Linked DNA regions of Oryzias latipes. The protein of the gene in region 1 interacts with the protein of each later gene in a pairwise test. Links are inferred from orthologs where the notes say so. Each region holds a gene or a part of one and is shown on either strand. Other genes may lie near its edges. The genes, in order: aqr and znf830.

Region 1 (13,259 bases):
TTTATCATTCACTACAGCATTTAAAAAATGGAAACAAGAAAAGTCAAGAGTCATGATTTAAAACTTTGGGGGTTTTTTTTTGTTCGAAACACAACCAGTGTCCTGTTTAGTGTGCCCCAAAGTGACACTGCCTTGATTTAAACATCTGTTATTATTGATGTTGAGAGATCATTTCAAGCAAAAGTTCATTAAAACAGAACACGGAGCGTTCTCATATCAATGGAACACCTTTTTCTTCTGCTTTAAACAAAACGAAGGCAGGCTAACAAGAAAGCTTGTTTAACAAAGTATTGGTGGTTTCTGACCCCTTAGTATGATGGTATGATTTGATGGGGGGAAATGGGGGAGGCAGATAGGCAGGCTGGTTGGCCCCCTGTCCTGGGGGGGGGGGGGGGGGGGGGGCAGCAGTTTTCCTCTATCTGCTATCCCGTGGGGTGTTGGGGGGTCCTGGCTACCGCTGCTGCCTTGGCGGGGGTCTTGGTGTGGAGATGACTAGGCACTCTCCCTCTCTTTTTCACCACTTTTTTCATCCACCCCAGAAGAACATAAACACCGTCTGAGCACAGGTGTTAGCTCACTTTGCACAAATAGTTTGCGTGACTGAATGACATGTTTTACATGTGTTTGGTCAAATGAAATAAGGCTTGTCATGTTAAAGCATTTAGATCACTTCTTGCAGTCATTATCGAAGTAGCTCACAAAAAAAAAAAACACTCCAGAGTGAACAAACTGACATTTGTTTGATATTTGTTTGTCCCAACAGTTTTGTTTACCTACCTAAGATGGCCAAAGTGTTTGGTCAAGGTTTCCCGAGTGTCCACTGCTGCTACGTTGGACATCGCAAAGTCATTCAGCTCTGGAAAATGAGAAAAGGCTGCTCTCTGCAAGATGAAAAAAAGAATTATTGGTGCATATATATATAAACATATATTAACTTGTGTCAATTTCAAGCACTACGTGATTTCTTTCACAATCCTCTCAGTCAGATTGGGTTCTGTCATTTCCAGGGATTTTTCAATACATTTAAAACCTGACAAAAAAACTGGATGTCCAAAAAAAAAGCCCACAGCTAACAGAGGGCTGATAGAAACTCTGCTGATCTCTGATTAAGTCGCTGTTTACCTGCAGAGAAGTGATCTTGTCATAGTGCAACGTGGTCATTTCTTTCTGCGTAAGAGCATTTCCTGTCTGATCATTGATCTCAAAACCAGAGTAAAACTTTAGCATGTCGAGAAGCTGAAAAGAACAAATAACACCAATTAGGATTTCTTCACGGAGAAAACAGGTTTTCAAAGTCACTAAAAGCTTGTTTTACCTGACAAAAGAGGTGGCCCTCCGTTTCTCTTTTAAGGAGGCCAGAGAGTTGGCAGCTGACCACAAGATGAGAGTCGTCCAGCATTGTGTTGAACCATCGTCTGGTGGGCAGCAGCGCCTGGAAACACAGGGAGGCCATAGCATTTGTACTTTTGAGCAGACATGAACGAATGCTTTTGTAAGAAAGAAAGCCATTTAAAAAACTAATTAATTGCATTTTCACCAACATTTTAAACAGGAAGGGTAAAACAAAGCAACTGACTTAACAATTACCAAGTTTTTCAGCAAGTCAACCCCATTTATGAGAGGAAAACACAGCACATCATAGTAAATTTAAAAAGAATCAGCCAGATTCCCAACCGAAAGATATACATTTCAGCTTCATGATTCAAAACTGCCTTTTAAAGACAGCAGCTGCAGCGCCTGCATCCCTAACTATAAATCAAATAATTCAATATCTATAAGCCACCTTTGAGTGTAACCCTTCGGACGGAATAGGATCCTTTTCCCTGCAATCATATTTAGATTCTCGTCAGAATGGGAAGTATGGATTTCTTGCGATTGAGGCTTTGTGAAAGGATAGTGCTGAAGGACATGAAAAGTCTCTGGAGACAGTAGGCTAGCTGACCACAAGCTGCTGGCAGGAACTGCAAGGCTAACCTGTCAGCAAAGAGCCAGATGAAATCTATTGAGCGTCTGTGTTAGACAGATTTGATCTGCTAAGGCAGCAGAAATGATCGTCTTGTGGCACAACATGTCTTCACAACAACCTCATTTGAAGGCTTGACTGTTCTCCATTCCCGTCTTTTTTTAACACAACTTTATATCTTTATTTTAAGACTGTCGGCACGATTTTGCTAAATGTAAAACACTGATATCTACAATTATTCATTTCCAACAAATTAAAAAGATACACACAACAATCACTAACCTAAAAATGACGTATCCCCATAACTTCCTGTTTGAGGCAGATATAAAACATAAACTAACTTCATCCTGGTGGAGTAACTAATCCCTATAGGAGGTTTTGAACCAGTAGGTCAGTTCTCATTCACTCTTAATGACTAACAGTCTTGCACCATTATTGTTTTTTTATCTCTATGGATAGGTTTAACATAGATGTAAACTTTAATAGGGGCAAATTTGTCATAGGCTAATCATTTGGTATCATTTTCACATTCAAAACACAATCAAACATGGATAATATCTCTTTACAACAGTCGTTCTTGGTGTGCTCCAATAGCCTTTTGGCTTGGTTCTCCCATTTAGTCACCGATTAGAGGAAAGGTTGTGTTTTACTGAGATATATCCTCCCAAAATGGTGACAAAACCAAAGACTGACTTCATACCCAATGGGTTATGTTTCATGTTTTCTTTCATTGACAGTCGTTGGTCAGAAACAAAAGTTTGATTTGACAGAAAAGAACTCACCATCAGAACATTTTGCGCCTTTCTGACTGTAGATCTTTTTAGGGGAATGGCTAGGAGCTAAAAAAATCTTTCAAAATAAATGATTATCTTATATTCTTGCTAATATGAATTCAAACTAAAACTTGAATTAATTAACTTTTATTTCTAAATAGAACTAGGCAATAAACCAAAGCCCATTTCCCCAGACATTGCCCTCAGTAGGAGCTGGAATTTGACATTTATCAAACACCCTGTGACAAAAATTTGATTAGAGTGAAATTAAAAGGTAAACGATGATTAAATTCTAAAACACCTGTACTAACACCATAGTAATGACGTATTACTTTGTTCATGACTGATTCTAGACATAATGTCAGTGGACATGATCTCAGTTTTTACATATAAACTTTAGTTGAGTGAAAACCAAGAGTGGGATGTAAAGTTCAAATTAAAAATCTGTCTTACCTCCAAATCAATTATGAGCTCAATGAATCTTTCACAATAATGGACTTTGTCCATTGACAGAGGCCCTGTGGTAAACAGACATGAAAAAGATTTTACTTCAGATACACAATGTTGTTCATTTAAAGTGCGAAACATGAGTAATAGACTGTCCCAAAATGTCAGGAAGCTAGATGGTAACATTTCCAAAAAATCTGAAGCCAGCAAACATGAAGAAAACACCAACCTGCCTTGCTAAGTGGATGAGCTCTCACAATGAGAGGCTGCACGGCCAGCTCAGCAGCATGCTGGGAGCTCAGCCCTCATTAAGCATTCCTGTTCCTCTCTGTGTGTCTCTGTGTGTGCGCACTTAACGTGGAGACATACAGCAAGCCAATAGAGTGATGCTGACCCTGCTGGGTTTTTGCTTGTAATCAAGAGTGTCAGGTTGAATTTTATCTAAACACTCAGTTTTTAGCATTCTGATGGGGGGGACTCGTGTGTCGGCCTGTATCACGGCATCACGGCCAGCGCATTTAACTGTATAGAAGCTGGAGTGCATGTTTCTTAAGCTGCTGCACGACTCAAAGCAAGGCGACAAAATTATAAGAAAAAGTAGACATTAGCTGAGTGGCCTGGAGGTAAAGTGTCTGCCCGAAGGCTAGAAGATCGAGGGTTTGAGTTCCCGGTCATGCCATATCAAAGATGGTAACAATGGGACTCAATCCCACCTTAAGCATTAACTCAGCATTAGTTGGTTGGATTGGGGGATTAAACTGCCAAAATGTTTCCCTCACCAGTACCCCAGTGCAGAAAAAAAGTGCATACACCCAGTTGTGTGAGTTTTTGGAATGCAATACTACATTTAGTTTGGATATCAAGGTAATGGTAAATACAGGAATAAAGCTGAAAAAATCACATAAACACCTAAATCTGAATTGAAGTGCTGAACTAATATTTTCCAAGGACTTTTTTATTTAATTTTCCATCTTCCATTTGTGCATTTATGCTTTTTCCCCCCCAAACCAAACACATTTATTTACCTGTTGGTGGAACTGACATGAGAACGCCGAGAAACTTTTTAATGAGAGCTGAGAGAAAGGTCCTTTCTTTGATTGCCCTGGAGAAGATACAAAAAAATCAGAATTATCAAAATACAAACAATAAAGAGCAAACTTAAATTGGCGTAGATTTGATTCAAAACACCCAAAAAACAGGCTTACTGCTTAGCCGCATCAGCATCCATCTGGTCAAATTTCTTCTTGATTAGATTCCAGAACTTTTGCAGCTTTGGGACTTTTTTCAGCTCCTGCTGCAGCCTAGACTGCAAATATGATGCAAAAAAATGTAAGAATCCAATTTTTTGGAGAATTAGTAAACAGGGAAGAAGTCAGTGTTAAACAATAAATACACACAAGACAATATTATTTGAAAGAACACAAGATTGGGATGTGGAATGACAACCAGAACATAGGGCGGTAACTAGAAAATGTGAGCTTACTGGTAAGAGGCACATCCACATTGGCAGGGAGACGAGCTGCTGTACCTGTTCTCTGATCAAATCAACCTCCTGCATAGAACAAGAAGAAAGATGAAATGCAGTCATGGGATTTTTCCAAAAGCACAGCATGTGACAAATTTTAATGCACCTCAGCCCCTAATAAAAGTCTGAACTAAATTATTTACAAGCTTTTATGGCATACAATCAAAGGGCAGCAGGCTATCGCAGCAGATTTTAAATTGAGACGTGTGTTTCTTTGAGGTCTGATGCAGCTGTTAAGGATACAAACGACCTGCCAAGAGAAGCACTGCACGGGCTACCACTGCCACCTAGAGGGCATTCCAAACAATTACAGAAAATTGCACATAAAGTATTATTTTAAAAGGATATTTTTGAAATGTCAAAGGATATGGCTTTTTTTAAATAAATGCATGCAGCCTGTTTATTATCTTAGCTTGTTATTTATTTTAAAATGTTTTAATTATTTTATGTAATTATTTATGTACGTTTATACATTTAAATGTAAATTCAACGTTTGTGCCTTTTTGTTGTTAATTGTAAAGCCCTTTGAGCTGCTCAAAGCATGAAAAGCATTTTTTAAAATAAAGTTTAATACTTGAATGACTGGAAGCATCCAATACTCTCATCCCCGACACCTTTTTTTTCCTAAAACGTTTGGTTAATGCAGTACAAACCAGGCTGTTGAAGCAGTGATCCAGGAAAACCAGGAGAACAGTTTGTTCCTTCAGACAGAGTCCAGCATCATCGCCTGTCAACACAGCTTCCATCACGCATTTGAAGAAGAAGGGGAAGTGGCTGGGCTTCTTCTTAAACACCTTACAAACATTATTAACAAAAAAATAACAAAGGAAATTAGAATACATGACTCAGCCTTTTATTAAAAGCAAAAATAACCTTGCTTACCTCCCATGCTGGAACATTTTCTCTAAACTTCTCATTGACAATGCAACAAATGGACATCATAAAAGCTTTGCTGGACACATCTGGTGTGTAATTCACCCAAAGGTAGTTCTCAAGGTATTGGCTGAAATAGAAAAGGGACAAAATATGAAACCAAACAAAACTGTTGACAGTTCAAAATTGTAATATCCTTTTTTCCCTGCTGCAATTTTAGAAGAAATCAAATGGAAATTCCTCACCTGAATTCAAGCAGCATAATTTTTCTGATAGAAAATCTGTGAACAATTAAAAAATATGTTAAGGAAAAAGATTGTTCAGCATTTCAAAGACAGATAAGAGGAAAAAGTATAGACTTACTTGGACTGCACAATTTCCTTTTCGTAGACATCCTCCATCACCTAAAAACAAAAACAGAAAAAAATCCATAACCGATATGTCAGAGTAAATTTATAAGTCACAAACAAGAAAAAAAAAACAAAAATATTTCTCTTGTATTTTGTGCAGACACAACTACTGTCTCAATTCAACCCACAAAGTTAACTGCATCAAAAGTCCTTTTGATCAGTGTTTGTTCGGTAAAATTTATCAATAAAAACCTGTTCAAACCAGATCAAATATTTTCCCATTGTGGAATTATTGAACAGCTCCAGGAACAACTATTAAAGCAAAGCACTGACCTATCCCAAAACCTCTTATATCCCAAAGTAACATTAAATGAAATGGACCAATGCAATCTACAAAGTTTGCACAGTGAAATTGACAAAATATTACACATCTAGTGCCAAGCCAGTGCAGAACAAATCAAGATTCCTCAGGTTTATGCTAGACAGTTAACACTGCTTTGGCAATGTGAGTTTCTTCTTATATTTTGTCTGACCTTCAAGTGTTTAATTTCTGCTATTGTTGCTACATTGTCCAAAGTCTTTACAATGCACTTGGAATACTTCATTGAGAAGAAAAGACAAATAGCTGAAGGACGGATCAGCTACTGAGACTATTCAGAGTAAAAATAAAAATCAGTTAATGTCCACTGAAAAAAGTCCAAATTAAAAGATGAAAAAATAATTCTGATTAAGCTATTGTATGCAAATACTGAAACTCTTTCCCCTCTCTGCTTCTGTGCCGGTCCCAAGCCCGGTTGCTTTGAGAGGGTTGCGTCAGGAAGGGCATCCGGCGTAAAACATTGCCAAGTTTACCATGCGACTCGTTCGCTGTGGTGACCCCTGATGGGAAAAGCCGAAAGGGAAACATGCAAATACTGAAACTCTGATTTACCTTGGGGTCAAACGGTAGCTTATTTTTAGCTTGAGGGGCCCAATACTTATTAGCCAACTGGAAATATAAATGAGAAAATTTAATCAGCCTTAAAAATCAAACATGTGAGAGTGGTATAATTATTCAAACGTATCTTTGCAGTACATATGAAATGTGCTTCTGTTGCTTACCTGGGTGACATATTCTGCATTTATCTGAGACACTGAAGGCGCTGCAGCCTTCTTAGCAGCGGGTTCTTTCTCCGTAGTAGTCGCCATCTACGAGACGACATCCACAGTAAACAACAGAGATCGATGACACATCAAAAGCAGCAAGATAATAAAAGGTATAAGTAAACGCCAATCCGATTAAGGTTAAGATTGTGGCTACTAATATAAGATAGCAAACGAAATGGACAAACGTAAAACTTAAAGAGAACACTAACTGAGCTTTGAAGAAATATGCACTTCTAAAGAAAAAAAAAAGGCCGTTAGAAATCTTTTGTGGAAAAAAAGGTGTATGGAGGGCAAGACTCGGAAACATTATGGCAACTTCCTTTGCGATTGGCTTCGTACTTTTGTTTTGCCAAACGCCAACAGATAGAAACGTTAGCTTTCCCCACAATATGCTAGGCTACTACTTAGCGGCGTAAACAAACTTATTTCAGATATAAAACTTGTACATATGTTGTCACCTGAGAAATAAGACAAATGAACTAACCTCAACAGTTAATTACTTTGACATAAACGTGGTGAAAAAACGACGCCTTGTACAACAAGCGTGTACACAACAACGCGCCGATTACCACTAACTTCCTGAATGGGTACGTCTCTGTCATTGTCCCCTGGAACAGCGACAAGCACAGGGTTCCGCATATACATTTCTCAACTTTTAATGGCTCAAATGTTTTGGGGGCCAAGATTCGTCTTAATTATCGGATTATTTTTCCAATACTGCAGAGTTAGGTCGAAACACCAGTTTTAGGCATATATTTTATGTTTTGTAACAAATTGAGCTACAGCACCTCTCTAAACAGGCTCATATGCCTCTTAGCAGCTTTGAACAGTTTTACCCATTATTTCCACAACATTTTTTCTTTCAGGTTATTTGTTTAACTTTTGGTTGTTTATTTTATTTAAATGATTTTTTTCATTAGTAGCCAATTTTATATTTAATTTATTTTTATTTAAATATTTTTTAACGTTTTTGTCTGTATGTTCTTTAGACTTATCTGTATGTCTTTGGAGCTGTTTGCATTAGGGAAGCTGGTTTGGGTGGTTGGGGGCATCCATGCTGATTTATTGAGACTTTCAGGATAGATAGATACTTTTATTGTCATGGTCACTCATACAACAGAATTTAATTAGGTGTACATAGGAGACGAGGTGGGAGAATTGGAATGGCTTTATAAAAAAAATGTTTTCAAATCTGTTGAGCAGTTGTGTATTTTTTTTTATTCAAAACAAAAAGAAAACATTTTATATATTCAAAAGGGCCCTTTAAATAAATTGATTCTTTTGATCCACAGTTTTTAGCTGCCTCAAAGGTGTTTAACATTTTGAGATGATTGTTGAGTGTTTAATCCAGTTAAAAGTGCTTCAAAATTCTTCTCTTTTCTTTCTCTTTGTATTAGCAGTTATGATGATAGATAATATATTGATAATGGAATACCTGTTGGTTTTAGTCAAAACATGTCTCCAACAGCAATATTTAATCTAAAATAATGAATAAAGGACAATTAAAATACCCCAAAACAGCTTTATTCAAAACAAAAGAATGAAAATGATAAGCTTTGCATACATTAGAGGCATATTTGACTGTTTCACAGTGTAAGATGTCAACTGTCAAACATGGAAGTGTAAGTGTAATGGCATATGGCTATTTTGCTGAATTCAGGGTTGGTGAATTTGGTCTTTGCAACAACGTCTGGTATGCACTTTGTTGGTAAGAGGCTCAACCTACAAGAAGTGAATACCCCAAACAGTCTAAAATATGCCATAGCTAAAGAACAAGACGGTAACCTTTAAAACATGGAGTAAAACACCTCCAGATTGGAATCCCATTGAGATTAAAAAAGAGCATTTAGGCTACCAACATTAGCTTCCTTTATAAATTAAATTAATATAGACGCAGATGCTTTATGGTATACAAACCGATTCCAGGATTTGTTTTATAATTCCAGTTGCTCAGTTGTAATACACTTTCATTTCAGACACTGACAACTTTCCAGTCAAGACCTTGATACACTGAAGTGTTCTATCAGTTGACTGGTTGTGTTGTCCCCCCACTTTTTTTGGTGTTGCTCACTCTTGTAATTTAGAACTTAGACTTTCAGAATCCCATCATACCCAACATAATTTAAAAAAAAAAAACATTTGCAAATGGACATTTTCATTTTTTGCTTTTACACTGATATGGACAAATTAACTTATATAAATGAAGCTTTTTTTTCTTGGTATAATCATTAAATTTATAATTCTCAAAATTCTAGCATCACTTGCAAGATGCTGTTCAAGACAAGTCTGCAGCTCTCAAAATGTTCTGTTGAAACGCTTTTCAGTTCCCATCTCTTTCCTTTATTTGGTGGAAAGGTTTAAAACTGTATACAGTTTTTTTCCCTGTTGCATTTCTTATTGACTTACACGGTGTGAACAAATTTTTAAAAACCTTTGATCAGAAAATTACAGCAGTGACTAAAGTGTTTAAATTGGCAAAAAAGAATGTTGTTCTTACAGATACAATGGATAGTTATTTATTTATTTTACATGTGAGAAAGAACTTTATTTGCTTGTGGTAAAGATGTGGCAGTTTGAAGAAGGGTCATGTTGATAATGTATATTCCAGAAAAATAAGCAGGTTTATGTTCAAACCCAGACTAGGTTAAGTCAAACTCTGACAGAAATGTTTCTAGTGGGTCTCACACTTCTGCTTCAGTTGGCAGTCAAACTTGACAGAAGGATCTAAGATCAAAGGTTAGACCAATGCTACTAAAAACATTAAACAGTTAATGTTTGCAAATGATTTAGTATTTTAGGAAATGTATTTAAGTTTTCCAATCTATTCTAGAGCATATTACGTAAGTTTGGAAAATTACTATACATGAAGTTATAGATAATGTTATAGTTATGTATGTGCTTTACGTTAAAAGTACATTTTAATTATAAACTGCCTATCCCTCCTCCCCTGCATACTCTCGTCTCAAAGGCCAAAAAAAATAGTCTAAGATTAAACTAAGAATCATTCATATCTTAGAACTAGCTTTGCAGAACCGCCAACCAAATCTTGGCCGCTGTTTTTACTTATATATTTTTTAATTTTTTTGGTTGTTCTTGCTAAAAAAAAAAAAAAAAAAAAGTCAAATTAACTTTCAAAGCCCAAAAGAAAATTGCCCTTGGGTTCACTTTGGTTAAACATGATTTTATTATCTGCAAAAATTGGACTATTATTGACATGTTTTGGTGAAAATATACATTTTTTGCCTGTCTGAGACAAAATGTAGGAGTTTGTTTTTTCTTTTTTGTCTGATTGGTGGTATTTAAAAAAAGCTATGCTCTTTGGCACATGAATAAACTGTTTCTTAAATACAATAAGTGTCAGATAATTGTTATTTTTAAATTAACAATTAATTTCAAGCACAAAAAAGTTTCTACTTTGAAATAGGATAACAATATATCATCTTATAAACTAAATAAGTAGTTTTTAAGATGAGTGGCAATAACGCTTTGCCAAGTGATTTGAGATGAAAGGTCTAAAAACTGGTTTTGAGATATTTAAAAAAAAAAAGTAAAATTCAGGTTTGTTTTGAAAAATCTTAGAGAACATGTTAAGACATTCAAGCCAAGGAAAAACTGCTGTACTTCGATTGACCACAAGAGGGGAGCACACACCACTGAACAGCATTTGTGACCGTCCCTTCAGCAAATGGAGAAAGTTTGATAAAGTCAATGCTGTGACTATAAACATGCATGCTTTCACAATCGTTCATGTGATGGAAACAAAGCATTACACAACAAAAAGAATGTCAAGACAGAAACAAACAAACTAAACCACAATGACTGAGTCAAGAAGACCACGATGTGAGGAGACGCCTCATGTGGTGAGGCTGGGCTCCCCCACTCTGAAGCCCACTGCTATGAGGAAACCGAGTCACAGACATCAGCAAGGTTTGCCTGGAGGAAGAAACACACTGTTTAAAGTCCATGTGCAAGGCCACGATGACAAGGGCCGTGGGCTGGTAGGGACAAGAACAGTATTAGCCAAAACACAGTGCTTCTTTGTGCAGTGGTTGCAGGTCAGCATGGCAGAAAATGTACATTTGACAAAATGCACGAGAAAAATAAATGTCACCCTGTCTTTGCTCATTTTATGATGAAGCGCTGTGGCGAGGATACAAAGAAATGTGCCTGCCATAGGCCATCACGATGTTTAAGACAAGGCTGTGAAAGTACACTTGTGGGTTTGCCAGAGTGTGTTTTAAAAACAAGCATGCTGAAAGACAGAGCATTATGTTTAGTGTTTGATGGATAAGTGGTGGCCATGCAGTGGAATCTAGCTATTGTGCAAAATTAAACCAAAGACATTGTCTTTGTGACATTGTCACAAAGACAAACAGATCAACAAATCATAGAGAACATGTTAAAAATTCATCTTCAAAAAGCACTATTTTTATTTATTTATTTATTTTAGAAATAATCAGGATATAGTAGAAAAAAGGTTTACAGTCTTAACAGGAATTATGCTAATGATCCACAGTTTGAGTATTTTCAAATTAAATTGTAGCTAAATTGACCTGACCAATGTGAAAAGAGTGCACAAATGGAAAACTCAAGGTAGAAAACATAGAAAGAAAATGTGATCTTGAAGTGGTTCTTTTTAGCTGTGTCGCTCAGAAACTCTCACTTTGTAAAGAGTCTTTACAACTTAACAGCTCAACATTAACACACTGTATGTTTATGGGGAATTGGATTGCGCCCTCATAAATAATTGCTTGTTTGTATTTTTCAACCCCCCGATACACATCTTCAGGCTCCGTTGGCTACCACCATTGTTCAATTTTTGATGACAACAATCAAAACAACAATGTGTAGGGTGGAGATCAATAGTCCACTTCAAAAGGGCGGCAAAGAGAAAAGCTGGGGTGAAGATGCATCCCAACTCCAACTATCAATACGGTTCATGATCTCTGAGAAAAGAAATGTTGCAGAAGCGATGGTTAATGGAGGTATTTTCTTGCAACATCGTCACACTGTTCCCAATGACTATCCCCCTTTAATACTTGCTCACTCATAGAAAAAAAACTTGCCCTGCAGCCATGTGTGCTAGTGTCCTTCTTCTATTAACCAGGCTGCCTTAGAATCAATAGAAAACATAAAAAGGTCTAATCTTTTCAGGTACTTGGCACTGATTGCCTATTACACAATAATAACACACCAAGGGCTCTATGAAGCATGAGAAGGAATCCCACTCACATCCTCTGAACATATAACGCACAGCTCCAAACCAGTCTCACAGTAAATCTCTAGGTTTACAACCCAACTGATGGCGTCAGAGATGGTGGCTCAGCCTGTACAAAGGATGCAGGTTAAGAAAGATTCCACCACAAACAGCGGGGTATCAGGGTGTGCTGCCTGGTGGAGTGAGGAACTGCTGGAGTCTTCCTTTGCAGAGGAAAGTTCTGTGGTATGCAGATGTTCCAAAAGTCTTCTCTGTGAGCTGAAGGGACAGCTGCTGTGGGAGATTAAAGAGTTTCTTGTTGGTATAAAACCCTTCGATCTAAAACGGAATAAAATGGAATAAATACATCTAAACAACTTGGATACATGTGTACTTTCAATTTTAACCAATTAAAAGCGGCAAGCGGGTCACATTAATAGGTGGTGCTTATTTTCTGGTCCCCTTAGATCTTCTGGTAGGCAGATCAAGTATGTCCGTTCACTTCAACTTTGTTTCTATGAACTGAACCAGCCAGACAGGTGGAGGATCTTGGAGTCGGGAAAGTCCAGGACAGGGACCAAAGCCACCGACGGACTGGACTCTAACAAGGAGCTTTTCAAGCTTTCTTCAAGTCCTATGGAAGGAAAGAGACAAAATCTGTTAATCTTGTGAGATTAATCTTGTGAGATTTCGAGCTTTAGTCAACATTTGGTACTTGTGTGGGTGTCCCAGTGGGGCTGTCCCAGTGCTGTGGACACACCTAACCCTTCAGCCAGACACAAAAGGCTTATTTTCAATTTATTGGCATGCTCAACTAGATTGCAGCCTCTTACCCCCCCCCACGTCTAATTCAGCTTCCCGCAGTGCTGACATATGGTCAGAAAGGACTGAACGCCAGACTACCCGTCTCAATTTTGTACACAGAGCCACGCATGACTTAACTCACACATACAAACATAAAAAAGGAGCAACCGAGCAGCTTGTT
Region 2 (11,940 bases), on another chromosome or scaffold:
GATTTAAGGCGGAAGGAAGTGCTTACGATTCAATGCCTAAAGGAAAATCCTGACTCATGGCTACGGTGGCTTTGAAGTTCTTCTTGCTCTCCTTACACACAAGTTCCCGACCCAGATGAGGAGGCCTTCAGATGGGAGAACACATGCACACACGCGCACACACACACACACGACATAAAGAGGGAGATTACACCCAAAGCACTTACAGAAATTACCTTGTAGATCTCATGAAAAAACAGGTCAATTATGTGGAGCTAATGCAATCACAGAAAAACACAAGCGCCTCACTTTCCGTGCTCTGCCGTTATGTACTCTTCCCAAGAAATGGTGTTGGGGGTTGGAGCTGTGAGGGACTTCCTCCTCACAGGCTGACGATAGAAGCAAAACAAGATTCAGCGCCATGAGCAACAACATGGTCTGTCGCAGGGAAACAGAAGAAGCACCTCAAAGTTCTGTTCACTGATGCCGCCTCCTTTACTCAAACTCTCCATGATGGCTTTGTTCCTCAATATGTCCTCCTCGCTTAAATGTTCTCGTCGCTTTCTGGACTCCAGCACCAGGCCGTTCACTGAATAGAAGTCAGCCAGGAAGTTTCCCACCCTCTCCTGCGAAAACAGACGGTAAAAGCTGGCGTCTAAAATAACACTTGAGGATGAAACTCTAAAATGGTGGTTAAATGAGGAGGGTTTGTTCTCAGAAAAAGAGGATTTCTTTTTATCTTTGCATTTGTGCGTTTTAAAGATGCTAAATCTGCTCAGGGGGGTGTCAGCACCAGCTTTACCGTTTTGTCCTCTCTGAACAGCCAGCCAATCTGACTGCGAGAGAAAGTGATGGACTTGGTTGACAGGGTTGCAGAGTAGACGTCACTGCTCATCAAAATGTCCACCTCCTCCTCAGTTTCCATCTCCGACTCCTTGTGGGAAACAAAAATGTTGGAATCACTCGTGAAAGCCACAGAATGTGCTCTGGTGGGGTTGTGCCATCCACTGACCTCATGGTGTACTCTTTGGTAAACGTTTGCTTTGTTGTCCAAAACCACAAAGGACTGAGAAGGTACAGCATCGCCGTTGAAAATGAAGCTCAGATCTCCACGCTGGCACTTCATGTCATTAAAATCTACGAGGGTGGTGTCAAGTCTAAATCAGGAAAGAGGAGAACCAACTCAGAATGTAAAGTTTGTTACGTCCTACTTTTTAGATCTAAAAGAAGTTCTTGGCCTGGATATCAACTCTTTTCTGAAGTGTCCCACAGGTACGCTGGTCTTTATCTGGTTGGCGTCTAACCTGATATTAATGCCCTGCTTGTAGATTTTACAGGCATCTGATGGCAGCATCCGGGACAGCAGAGGGACTACAACAGACAAGAATTGGATACATTAGTTTGTGGAAGAAAAATAGGACAAAAAACATTGCTAATTACAAGAGAACTTACAATCTTTATTGCTAGTTTTGTTCATCTTGTTAACTGATCAAACTGAGTCTTAAAAATGTATATGCAGTATAGTATGAGAACTTAATACTAATGAAATAAAATAAAATATAAACTCACCCCAACTCTGAAAGTCCCAATGAAGCTCCAGATAAAAGTCACCAAGCTGGAAAAAAAGTGATAAAAATGCTAAATGTATTTTGTTTAATGTCAGCAGTCAGATTTCTGTGATGCAGGTTAATACATGAAGCTCCAGCCAGAACAGAAACACTCACCTCTCTGAGAGCTTTCAGTAATTTTGGCCGCTTATCTTCCACACTCTCCCTGGACTGCTGCTTTAACTTCCTCAGCACTGCAGTAACTGGAAATGGCAACAAAAATGACTTAGCGCAGAATCAAACTTTCAGCCCCATCATGAGTGTTTAAAATAAACGGGAACGACTGATTGACAAAGATCCTACTGAAAGAACAATACAAACAAAATCAAGGTCATGGAAATTCATACAGAAATTCTCTTGTTAAATTTAGGTTTTAGTGTAGAATTTTTACCAAATTAAAACTTCACTGTTCACAATTTTTCTGTGGTCTAAACACAAACAAATTATTTACCACTATGTCATCATAGGTAATCACCTAAGAAAAGATGAAATCATTTGTAACCCTTGTGCTATCCTAGGCACTTTAATGTTGGGAGTTGGGTCATCTAGACCCACTACAGTGCGCTGAACCTTTTTTCTTCAATGATTTGTGATCTTCACTGGTGTCCATGGATTACATGAAATCTTCCACCTTTATCCACCTTTGTCATGGTAGGGAGAACACGTCAATGGAAGGGTGGGGTCATCTAAGATAGCACAAGGGTTAATCAAATCAAATGTAATATATTGGCACAAAGTCCGGCAATGACTGAATCAGCAGATGGGAATAACTGGTTCAAAAGTCCCATCTCTCTATATATAAATAAGAAAGAGCTAACCAGTGACCCTTCAATGATAGACCAGATGAACCAAGTCAGCACTTCTGAGTATATCCCAGTAATCTCAGAAATGCTGCAATGAGGATGGATGTGGCTAAGAGGGGCAGTGCTGACAAGGCTCCAGGATGTAATAGTTTCACACACATACAAACAGCAACTGAGCTGCTGACACAAGGCGCCCAGGCGATGACAGATGACAAGATTGCAGAGTTTTGAGAACTGCTAGGAGAAGAAAACAAAGGTGTGCTTTCTAGAGCAAACCTTGCTTTAACTGAACGGTACCTGCTGTTGATGCTATTTAGGTTAAAGTCCAAACACCCTGCTGTGTCAGTGGAGTTTGACTTTCAGTGTCCTTGCTGAACATTTGAATGTAGTCAGCTCCTTTTCCACCTGCTTCTCTAAGCTGTGACCTCCTCAAAGCTCCCGAGTCCCTCTCCCTGACCAGTCTGTCATGACATGCAAAGATAACCGAAGCGCAGGGTACCAGAGGTCACGCTCATTGATTTACTACACTAGAGACCCTGAGAAATGAAAAAAGAGGGAGCTTTTTCTTTAAAAACTGACTTTTTTTATTAAGTTGGTTCAAAAATGGGGCTGCACTGAATTTAAAGAAGTCCTATTCTGATGTGGAGCAGTAAAGATCTTATAAGCTAAGCTCTTTTTAATATCATAAGCTGTGGCAGATGCTGATATCCAGATCATCTGGATGGCGAGTTCGTGGAAAATCCCGACCTTCAGCTTTCGAGTTGAACCCACACGGCAGCTGCTAGTTGATCAGTCATAGAAATGTCCTCTGAACACTAATAGTTTTACCTTTGACTCAAGCAGTAGGTTCAACATTTACAGGCTGTTTCCTTCTAAAAGAGTTTGTCAGCAAAATAGAACATTTTAGAACATATGATTTAACTTTCAACAACTAAAATGCTAAAAAATGTAGAAAAATGTAACATTTTCCAAACAAAACATAACAGAAAAAACAAATCGGGCTGAATCTGTTAAATAATTATACAGATAGAATAGAAGGAGGACTTGGTTTGTTCTGATTGCTTACTCATCTGCCTGTCACCATAGCTGATAGCTTCCGCCAGAGGACTCCATCCCTGTGCGTTCTTTACTTTCACAGGTGCATTATGGGCCAGGAGAAGGAGAGCACACTCTGAAAGATTACAAATAAAGGAAACCAGTGAGTAAAGTTGAACTGACACAGTAGGGGGAGGTGTTTTTAAAGAACCATATTTTTACTTGGGACATTTACAAGGTTTTTTAGGCAATACAAAGCCATTTTTAGGGTGCTATAAATGCATTTTTACTATGGAAGAAGTTATTTTCCTATTGTCAGAATATGCGTTTGATTCAAAAAATCAAATTGATGCATACCATTATATAATCGTTTCAAATTAAATGTAGTCAATTAAAATCCATGTTGGATGGAGGCACTGTAGGTTTGTTTTACTAGAACGTAAAAATGACCAAGTGCATCACAGCACATGTGATGGCAGCAAAAAATGATCAAGCCATCATTCCAGTCCAATGTGTGGAAACACTTTGAACTTTGCAAAGACATGTGACCACAACATTATGCCACATTTTTGGTTATAGATGTTCTCGGTCGATTTGGTGTCAATGAATCGGATCAAACTGGATCCTTCAAACTGAAACAATATCAATAAATTGTAACCCCAGCCACAAATTATGAAATCAATCAAATCATTGTTAAAATGAGTTGTTACACCACTATAAATAATTAACTAGATTTTTTTTTATAACATAATCCTCTGGAATTAGATTGACAGATTACCAGGGTAAAGGGAAAAGGCTCCAAATAATTTCTGCTATTGTTATTCAAGCTTACCTTTATGTCCCATCATCACAGCCAGGTGAAGAGGTGTGTTTCCTGAAAAGACAGACAATTTTCCCTTTTTTAATAGACACAAAAGATTGCATTTAAAAACAAAACTAAGGATAAACATGAATAGGAATTAAGTATATTAAAACCTACCATGCACATCCTTCTGAATGATGCTGTGTGTCCTAATGAGGGAGGAGAGTCGACGCACGTCTCCTTTGAACACGCACTCGTGCACAGGAAACTGCAATTCCTCGTTGGTCAGGATAATAGGATTCTTGTTTTTATCAACGCATGCGTTGTCGTTGATGTTGTTTGCATTGAGATGCTGATGCTGCTTCAGCAACGAGCTTTCGATGGATTTCTGGAGAGCCTTATTTATCTTGAAATTGTTGCTGGTACCTTTAGGGTTGGTTTCGTTAGAGGTTTCGTCATAAATGTCCCTTATCTCTTCATTTTTGTTAAGCTTGCTGTTGTGGTCTTTCCGCACTGACCGTAGTTTTTCACCTGTCATGATGATGATGAAGAACGGGGGATTGCTAGCCTTGAACTCGACGGTGTATCGGTGACGTTAATTTGTCCGCAAAGCAGCATTAGCGAATTAAATAAAAAGTGAAATCAAATAAACCGCCAATACTTTCAAGTTAACTATATATTTTTGTCATTTAAAATTATTTCTAAACGTTAGACGGTGGCTTTCCGGTTAGCTTGCTAAGTCACAATAAAAAAAATACTGTATGATTATGATGGGTGCGGCTATGATACTGAAATTGATGCTGAACATAAAAGAACACTGTAAATAAACAAAAACAACGCAGAAAGCTACATCGTTTTTCCTTGTATCATCTTTTGTACTTACTTTTGAAAAATTACGGCGGCTGCGAATTATGAGCGTTTGCAGGAATAAACGGACGGCTACAGCTCATGCTAGGTTCTCTCGTATCGCGAGATTTCACGGTAGTTCAAACGAACGACGGTGCTACGTCATTTTAATGAGACGGGCTGTTGCTGATTAGCTAGTAGCTCGCTGGCTAACAACAAACTCTTATGATGGCGACTTCAAAAAAGGGGAAAAAGGTGGTAAATCAAGAAGAACTCCGGCGGTTGATGAGGGAGAAACAAAGACAAACCGCTGACAAGAAGCGCGTGGAGTCTCCGTTCGCCAAATACAACAGTCTGGGACATCTGAGCTGCACGCTCTGTAGTGTGCAGGTGAAGTCCGATCTACTGTGGCCGGCTCATGTCCTCGGTAAACAACACAAGGATAACGTTGCAGAGCTAAAAGGAGCAAAAACGACACCAGCGCCGAGTCAAACACCGAAGAGAAAAGCCCCTGACACCGAAGCAGTTACCGCAAAAAAGGCGAAGCCCGCGTCGGTTGCAAGTCAGTCTACATCCGATGCTTCTGAGAAACCTCTCACCACCCAACAGTCTGCGGGTCTGAGTCTGCTAGCCGGTGTTTATGACGACGAGGATGCCAACGCTGAGTCTGAGGCACCTGCTCAGGGAGCGGACGGAGGCCTTCCAGCCGACTTCTTTGACAGTTCCATCCCATCCACACCCGCCATCTCTCACTCCGGATCCGTCCTGAAAGCCGAAACGAAGGAAAAGCCCCCCGAGAAGAAAGAAAACACATCGGAGGTGCTGCCCGAGGGCTTCTTCGACGACCCAGTAAGGGATGCCAAAGTGCGCAATGTGGATGCTCCCAAGGATCATATGGACAAAGAGTGGGAAGAATTCCAGAAAGAAATTCGCCAAGTGAACACAAAATCCGAGGCCATCGTTGCGGAGGACGATGAAGAGGGGCGTCTGGAGCGCCAGATAGACGAGATCGACGAGCAAATCGAGTGTTACAAAAGGGTGGAACTGCTGCGGGACAAGAGAGATGCTGTGAAAAGCAAAGCTCTGCCCAAAAAAGACAAACCAAAAGAAATACAGGAAGACGTAGACGATGAGGATGATGAAGAGGAATTGTTGGGACTTTTGACCCAGGACTGGAGGGCCAAAGGGGCTCTTGCTTGAGTTTCATAAATGCATCACTTCTTGTGTCCAACTCAACTCAAAACAATTATTTTGTACAAAAAATGCTGTCAACTCAAGAGATTTATAACTAACTTTCCTTTTTGTCCGGTCTAGAATGGGTTTTGAAAACTGCAAATCACAAGTAAAATGGATTATTCAAAGGAGAACAGCGTTTTCTCTGTCTTTTGTCAAAACTATTGCGACCAAAAACAAACCTTAAACATTCTTTTATTGGTGCTCAAACACAAAACATTCATAAAATCTCCCATGTACAGTAGCAGCATGAACTCGTCAGTTATCACGGAAAAAACATTACACACTTTAAAATTTCCAAATGTTTCATGTCACACAAGAAGCAACATGCAAAGTAAAATACAAATGATTAAACTTTCAATTTAACTCATTTTACAAGGGAATATACATTTTTACAAAGCTCAAAAGGAACCAGGATAGTTTTGTATTCAAACGCCTAACAGGTGATGGTCAGTGCTTCTTATACTACCTGTTACTGCAAGTTAGGTGTGCTTTCTGCCTAAACTACATTTTTATTGCTTAATCTGCCTCACACGGATGCACCTCAAAGATTCAAAGCGAGTATAGCCCTTCAAATATGAAACAGGAAAAAGTACAAAGAGAAGGACGCAGACTAAATACTTGATCCCAGTTGTAACTTAGGAAAATATGCATGTCACATCTTAAGAAAGAGCATAAAAGTTCATATTTAAGATCAACAAGGAAAAGGTATAAAAACACCAGAGGTCTGACAAAAACTGTGTTTCTAGTAGTCATTTGTAAACATTCAAAATACAGATCTAAAGATTCAGGTTAGCAGGACCGCATAGTTGTGTGAATAGGTGAGGAGCATCTCCATAAACTGGCAGTTATGTTCTATCCTACTATAGAAAAACACTAAATCATTACATCCAGATGACAAAAACAGGAGTACATGGATAAAAGTCGGACACTGAAGGTGGAAAAATGGACTCCAGGCATCTCTAAAAATAAGCAGAATTCGATTAAACAAGAAGCAGACATGACTTCCTAACACTACAGTTAAATATTTGGTAATGTTTTGTGGTGGATGAAAAGATAAAATGGAACTTAGGATAGAAGGATTGAGCAGATCAGCACTGCCCCCCCCCCATTCAGCATGACAAAAATCCAATTCACAAAATAAAATGCAGCAACTTCAGAAAAAAAAACTTGCAGCCCTCCAGACCTGTCTGGGTTTCAATACTGTTCACTGCTGATAGAATGTGTGCTTAAAAACCCACGGCCACTCTCAGCTCTGTCAGGGAATACATCTTGTCCCCGTTGCTGTCGAAGCACTCCATGGTGCGTTCGCTGGGAGCCGACGTCTGCAACACTTCCTTCAGGTCGTTGTAGGTAAGACCGGGAGAATGAGGCTCTGCAGCGGCTCGCTCAAACAGGTCTTCTAAATCTATGAACAAAACAACAAAACTTTATGTGAAATGCAACACTTATTGGATTACCACCTTAGGGCTGAGGTGGTCTAGGAAGTACTTTATTTAAACCTGTAAGATGGGGTAGTTTTACCTTTCAGAGAACTGACACCTCGCAGGGACACCCTCCTTGAACATTTTACCCCCGCATTCCTCTTGTGCCGGGGTACAGTTAAAAAGCGAGGCCGTCTGCTCGTCGTCAGCAGTGGTGAAGCGGACTCTATTGAATGAAAAAAGAAAAAACATTACAGTGAATCAGTGAAAATACAGTTTACGGTTAGTAGAAACTGATCAGTATTACTGTACCAGGAGATGCTGTGGTTGTAGGAGCATCCTTTAGCATCCTGTTGTCTGAAGGTTGGCTAAATTCTGGTGAAGTTTCTGTTCCATTATTCTGCACCTAAGAAAAAAAAAACAGTAAAATTTTAGGTATTTGGAATAAACAAAATAAAAATAGACAAGCATTACACACAATAGCTTAACTCTAACTGTTGGACTTTAGCATAAAGGTGTTTTACACCCAGAATGATATTGAGTTTGTGGGAGAACCTGATGGCAGTTTGTGCCAATTGAGCAGCAAAAGCTTTAAAAACAACCCGTATTTTGGTTTTAATAAACAGAAAACCCTGTAAATGAATTAATATGATATAGAACAATCAATTTATCAAGGTGAAAACAAAATATCGGTACGAAATAGGGCTGCACGATATGAGGAAAACTTGCAATTTACTATATTAATGATCAATATTACAATGACGATGTAACTTGGGATACATAAACAAATCGCAAAACTACCAAAAACATCATTTCCATTTTACTGCAACAGTTTAATTTAAATAAGAGTCAACATAAATTAAATTATAATCCACATGACCCTCGTCTACATAGGAGGCAAACATCTAACATAAAATGGCTCCATCTGATTGGTCAAATGCATAAAGGCATTTATTTGATTAGTTAAATACTTCAAGCAACCATAAGATTGTTTTAGAACATTTAAGATAACCATTTATCGCAATTTTCACTGACTTTTACAAAATGCTTATTGCACAGCTTGATATTGCGATAACGATAAGTTTACGATTTATGGTGCAGGCCTAGTACAAAAGTAAAACGAGGCCATCTTTAGGTACAGATGTCCTGATCCGATCATGTGATCAAAAATCTGGCCTGAATTTGATCACATATTTTCAGACTCAATTGGAATCAGATGTTGTATCTCGATCAGGTCGGCGCATAACGGCAGCCCACAAACAAGCTACAATCCAAACTCTACAAAAGTTTAGTGGCTCATTTAAAAAAACAAAACAAATGAAACTCTTGGTAACCCATTGGAACCTGTCTAATATATCAAAACAAGCACTACAAAAAATTCCTAGGAAGTTCCTAGTTCAAAGCTAAAACTTAACAAATAGCTCAACAAATCTTCATGCCAAAACATGATAAAAACGTTTTTATGGAGTGCAGTAACAACATGCACATTTTTCTTTGTTTATTAGTCTTCTGTCAAAGAAACCATGTTCGGGGTAACAAGAGTATCAAACGTTGACATACTGAATGCGATCCATAAGCTAAGCAGCACATTTGCATCCCTTGAGAAGGAAATCTGTAAAAGCTCTGTGGATATTGTAATCCTCGTGGAAACTATGGTAGACTTAGATCATCAGGCTAAAAATGTTGTCAATATGTTATAATGTGCTTCATCTTTCACAGATTTATTTCAGTTCAATGTACATGCTTTTTTTTTTTTAACTGCATCCTGTTCGGTCCTAATTGGCTGTAGACAAGTGTCAGTCAATCTCACTCATGCTGTACAGAATGCGTTCAGTTTCCAAATTTACATAAATCTGCACATCTTTAGTTTATTCTATAATACTAGACTTCGTTTGAACTTTGAGAGTTTACGCAAGCAAGAGAGAAGAGTCCCAAAATATCAGACACAAGTGTATAAAGTGTGTAGTGAGGAGTTTTACAGCCTTAAATTTTGATTATGATCATTGTTAAAAAAAATCAAGTTGACTACTTCACGAATTTGACCCGTCGCAGGTTATTTTTAGAATGCAACTCCTGCGATAAAAGAGGGATCACTGTACATTCTGATCTAAGCACAGGAGACACAGCCAGGAGATTCTTCGCTCCCACAGATCTGCCTCCCCAGAAAGTGAAGGGATCTCTTTGAGGAGAGTCTCCTACATTTGCTAAAGCTTATCTTTGGTCGTCCTGCTTTAGGGCTTGGATTTAACCTCAGGTCTGTTTAGTTTGGTAACTGGGGACTGTTTAAAAATAATATTAACAGAGAATTGATTAGATTGTTAAAGATGTGATATCTGATGTTTTTACTTGTTTCCTTTCTCTTTAAAGATCCTTAAAAAACTGGTCGCAATAAATTAACTCAATAAAAACTTTGCATTGTGGATTTTGGTCCCATCCTTTCAGGCACAGAGATTTAACCAAAAAGGGCTTCCAGCTTCTTGAAGCTACATTTTGCTAAAATGTGTCCAAACTAATGGATAAAGACCACCTTTTTGACTTTTAATGTTGAAGCCCTGAAACATTTAACGTGATCCCGTGACTGGGTCAAGTCTTTGCCTATTTAAGTGCTTTTAGTCAGTCGCCTCCATCTCTATCATCACTTAAAATGTACGTATTCCTCTGAAACCAATCATTTTACAACGGACTCACGCTGCGTTCGGACCCGTTCTCCAGAAAGGCCACTCTCTGATGAAGTTCTGCCACAGTAGACAGGAGGAGGTGGATCTGCTCATCGGTCCAAGTGTGGCGCTTCTCCTCTGTCTTATTAACTTCAGTCATGACTTTTCTAAGATCCGTTATGTCCTATGCAAACACAGAAAAACATCGACTTGCAGTACAGCTTTAGGCACAGGTGCAAACAAACTACATTCATTTTAATACTTGGGTTGTGAACAGAAAATAGTGTTTAGAGCTATCAAGTATTCCAAAATGTCAGAAGACACATTTAAAATTCCTAAATTGACTACAAAAAATGTTACATAAAGTGTAAATTACATGGCAACCTCCTTTCACTTTCTTTTTTACTTCAGCAATTTGATTTAAAAAACAAAAACAAAGGACTTGCAAATATAGGTTAACACACTATCCTTGCCTCTGTAATAACCACAAACACTGCCTTTTGGTATGATCCATGCCACAGATCAACTAGCCGTCAGAATTCTCATGTATGTAATTACATTAACTTCAGGTTTTAATGAAACAAATGCATAAACGCCCCGCTACAGAAAAAGCAACAATCATCTTGATTGCTTTAAAGAAGTAAATGCACTCCTCTATGTTTTCTGTAGACAGTCATCCATGTATGCAGGCATCAATAATAAATAAGCAAAGCAGCATCTGGCGCTTTTTTTCCATGAGCCTCATTTTTATGCATAAAGAACGCCGCATGTGATTTTTCAGATTTGCTCGGTAACATTAACAGCTTAACAGGTTTGTTTTAAACATTTTGAACCATATTGTCAATTGACAACAGAAATGGAATAGTAAAATAGACATAAAAAAGCTTGTAGTACCAGAAACATTGTGTTAAAACCAGCCTGCATTTTGAATTTCTATTGGAATGTCGGCTAATTGTGTCTCCCAGCAGTCCTGGACTGTAACCACCAGGGAGTTCTAGATTTTCTTCTTTCTTAGTGCGCCTTTGAGCAAAATGTCGGCGCTGCCTCGACCTCGAAACTTCACCAAAATCTGCTTACACCTAGTACCCAGTAAAAGTGAATTTGCACAGAGAACGAGCTCATCCCTCGAATGATGACATCACAGCCACCAAAGCCAATAAAAAAAATGTAAAAAAAACAATGAACAGGGTCAAAATTTCTCATGGGGCTCAAAAATTTCTTTTTTCTTTTTCAAAATCCATACATGTCAGGGATATCCAAAGGAAATTATTATGGGCAGGTCCCAGGATCCACGGCTCGAGCCATTTAGTGGCAAAATGTTAAATTTCACAATTTGCTAATTTTTTCCCCCAATATGAAAAAAAAAAAAAAAGTTTTGTTTAAGCAAACTTCATGAAATTTCACACACATGCTTCCAGGTTAAATCAACGATAATAACCAAAGTTCTGTTAACCTTTAGCCTCAGGAAGAGGCTGCCAACACCTTTAGTATCAGCCAAAACTGACTGAAAACTCCTCCTGGGGTTTTGAAGCTATCGCCTCCTAACTCCTCCAG

What was found.
Region 2: the proteins of aqr (region 1) and znf830 interact in a two-hybrid assay, tested with the Homo sapiens proteins (2 studies listed by BioGRID and IntAct, with this or other methods). The link is inferred for Oryzias latipes from reciprocal best matches to the Homo sapiens genes AQR and ZNF830.

What each region holds. Positions count from the first base shown.
Region 1 is NC_019880.2:7,468,398-7,481,656, reverse strand, and holds the start of aqr (intron-binding protein aquarius), read right to left. Parts: upstream 7,693-13,259; 5' UTR 7,562-7,692; intron 7,120-7,561; coding exon 7,033-7,119; intron 6,920-7,032; coding exon 6,863-6,919; intron 5,986-6,862; coding exon 5,945-5,985; intron 5,863-5,944; coding exon 5,827-5,862; intron 5,712-5,826; coding exon 5,591-5,711; intron 5,503-5,590; coding exon 5,362-5,502; intron 4,736-5,361; coding exon 4,667-4,735; intron 4,490-4,666; coding exon 4,389-4,489; intron 4,286-4,388; coding exon 4,209-4,285; intron 3,255-4,208; coding exon 3,190-3,254; intron 1,433-3,189; coding exon 1,316-1,432; intron 1,237-1,315; coding exon 1,123-1,236; intron 882-1,122; coding exon 778-881; intron 1-777. Other genes in the region: dph6 (diphthine--ammonia ligase), read right to left, coding at 12,790-12,908.
Region 2 is NC_019875.2:26,988,979-27,000,918, reverse strand, and holds znf830 (zinc finger protein 830), read left to right. Parts: upstream 1-5,242; 5' UTR 5,243-5,297; coding exon 5,298-6,272; 3' UTR 6,273-6,439; downstream 6,440-11,940. Other genes in the region: ankyrin repeat domain-containing protein 13C-like, read right to left, coding at 27-125, 289-368, 444-605, 782-913, 992-1,136, 1,284-1,350, 1,549-1,594, 1,704-1,789 and 3 more; efcab14 (EF-hand calcium-binding domain-containing protein 14), read right to left, coding at 7,535-7,713, 7,830-7,955, 8,042-8,135, 10,418-10,570.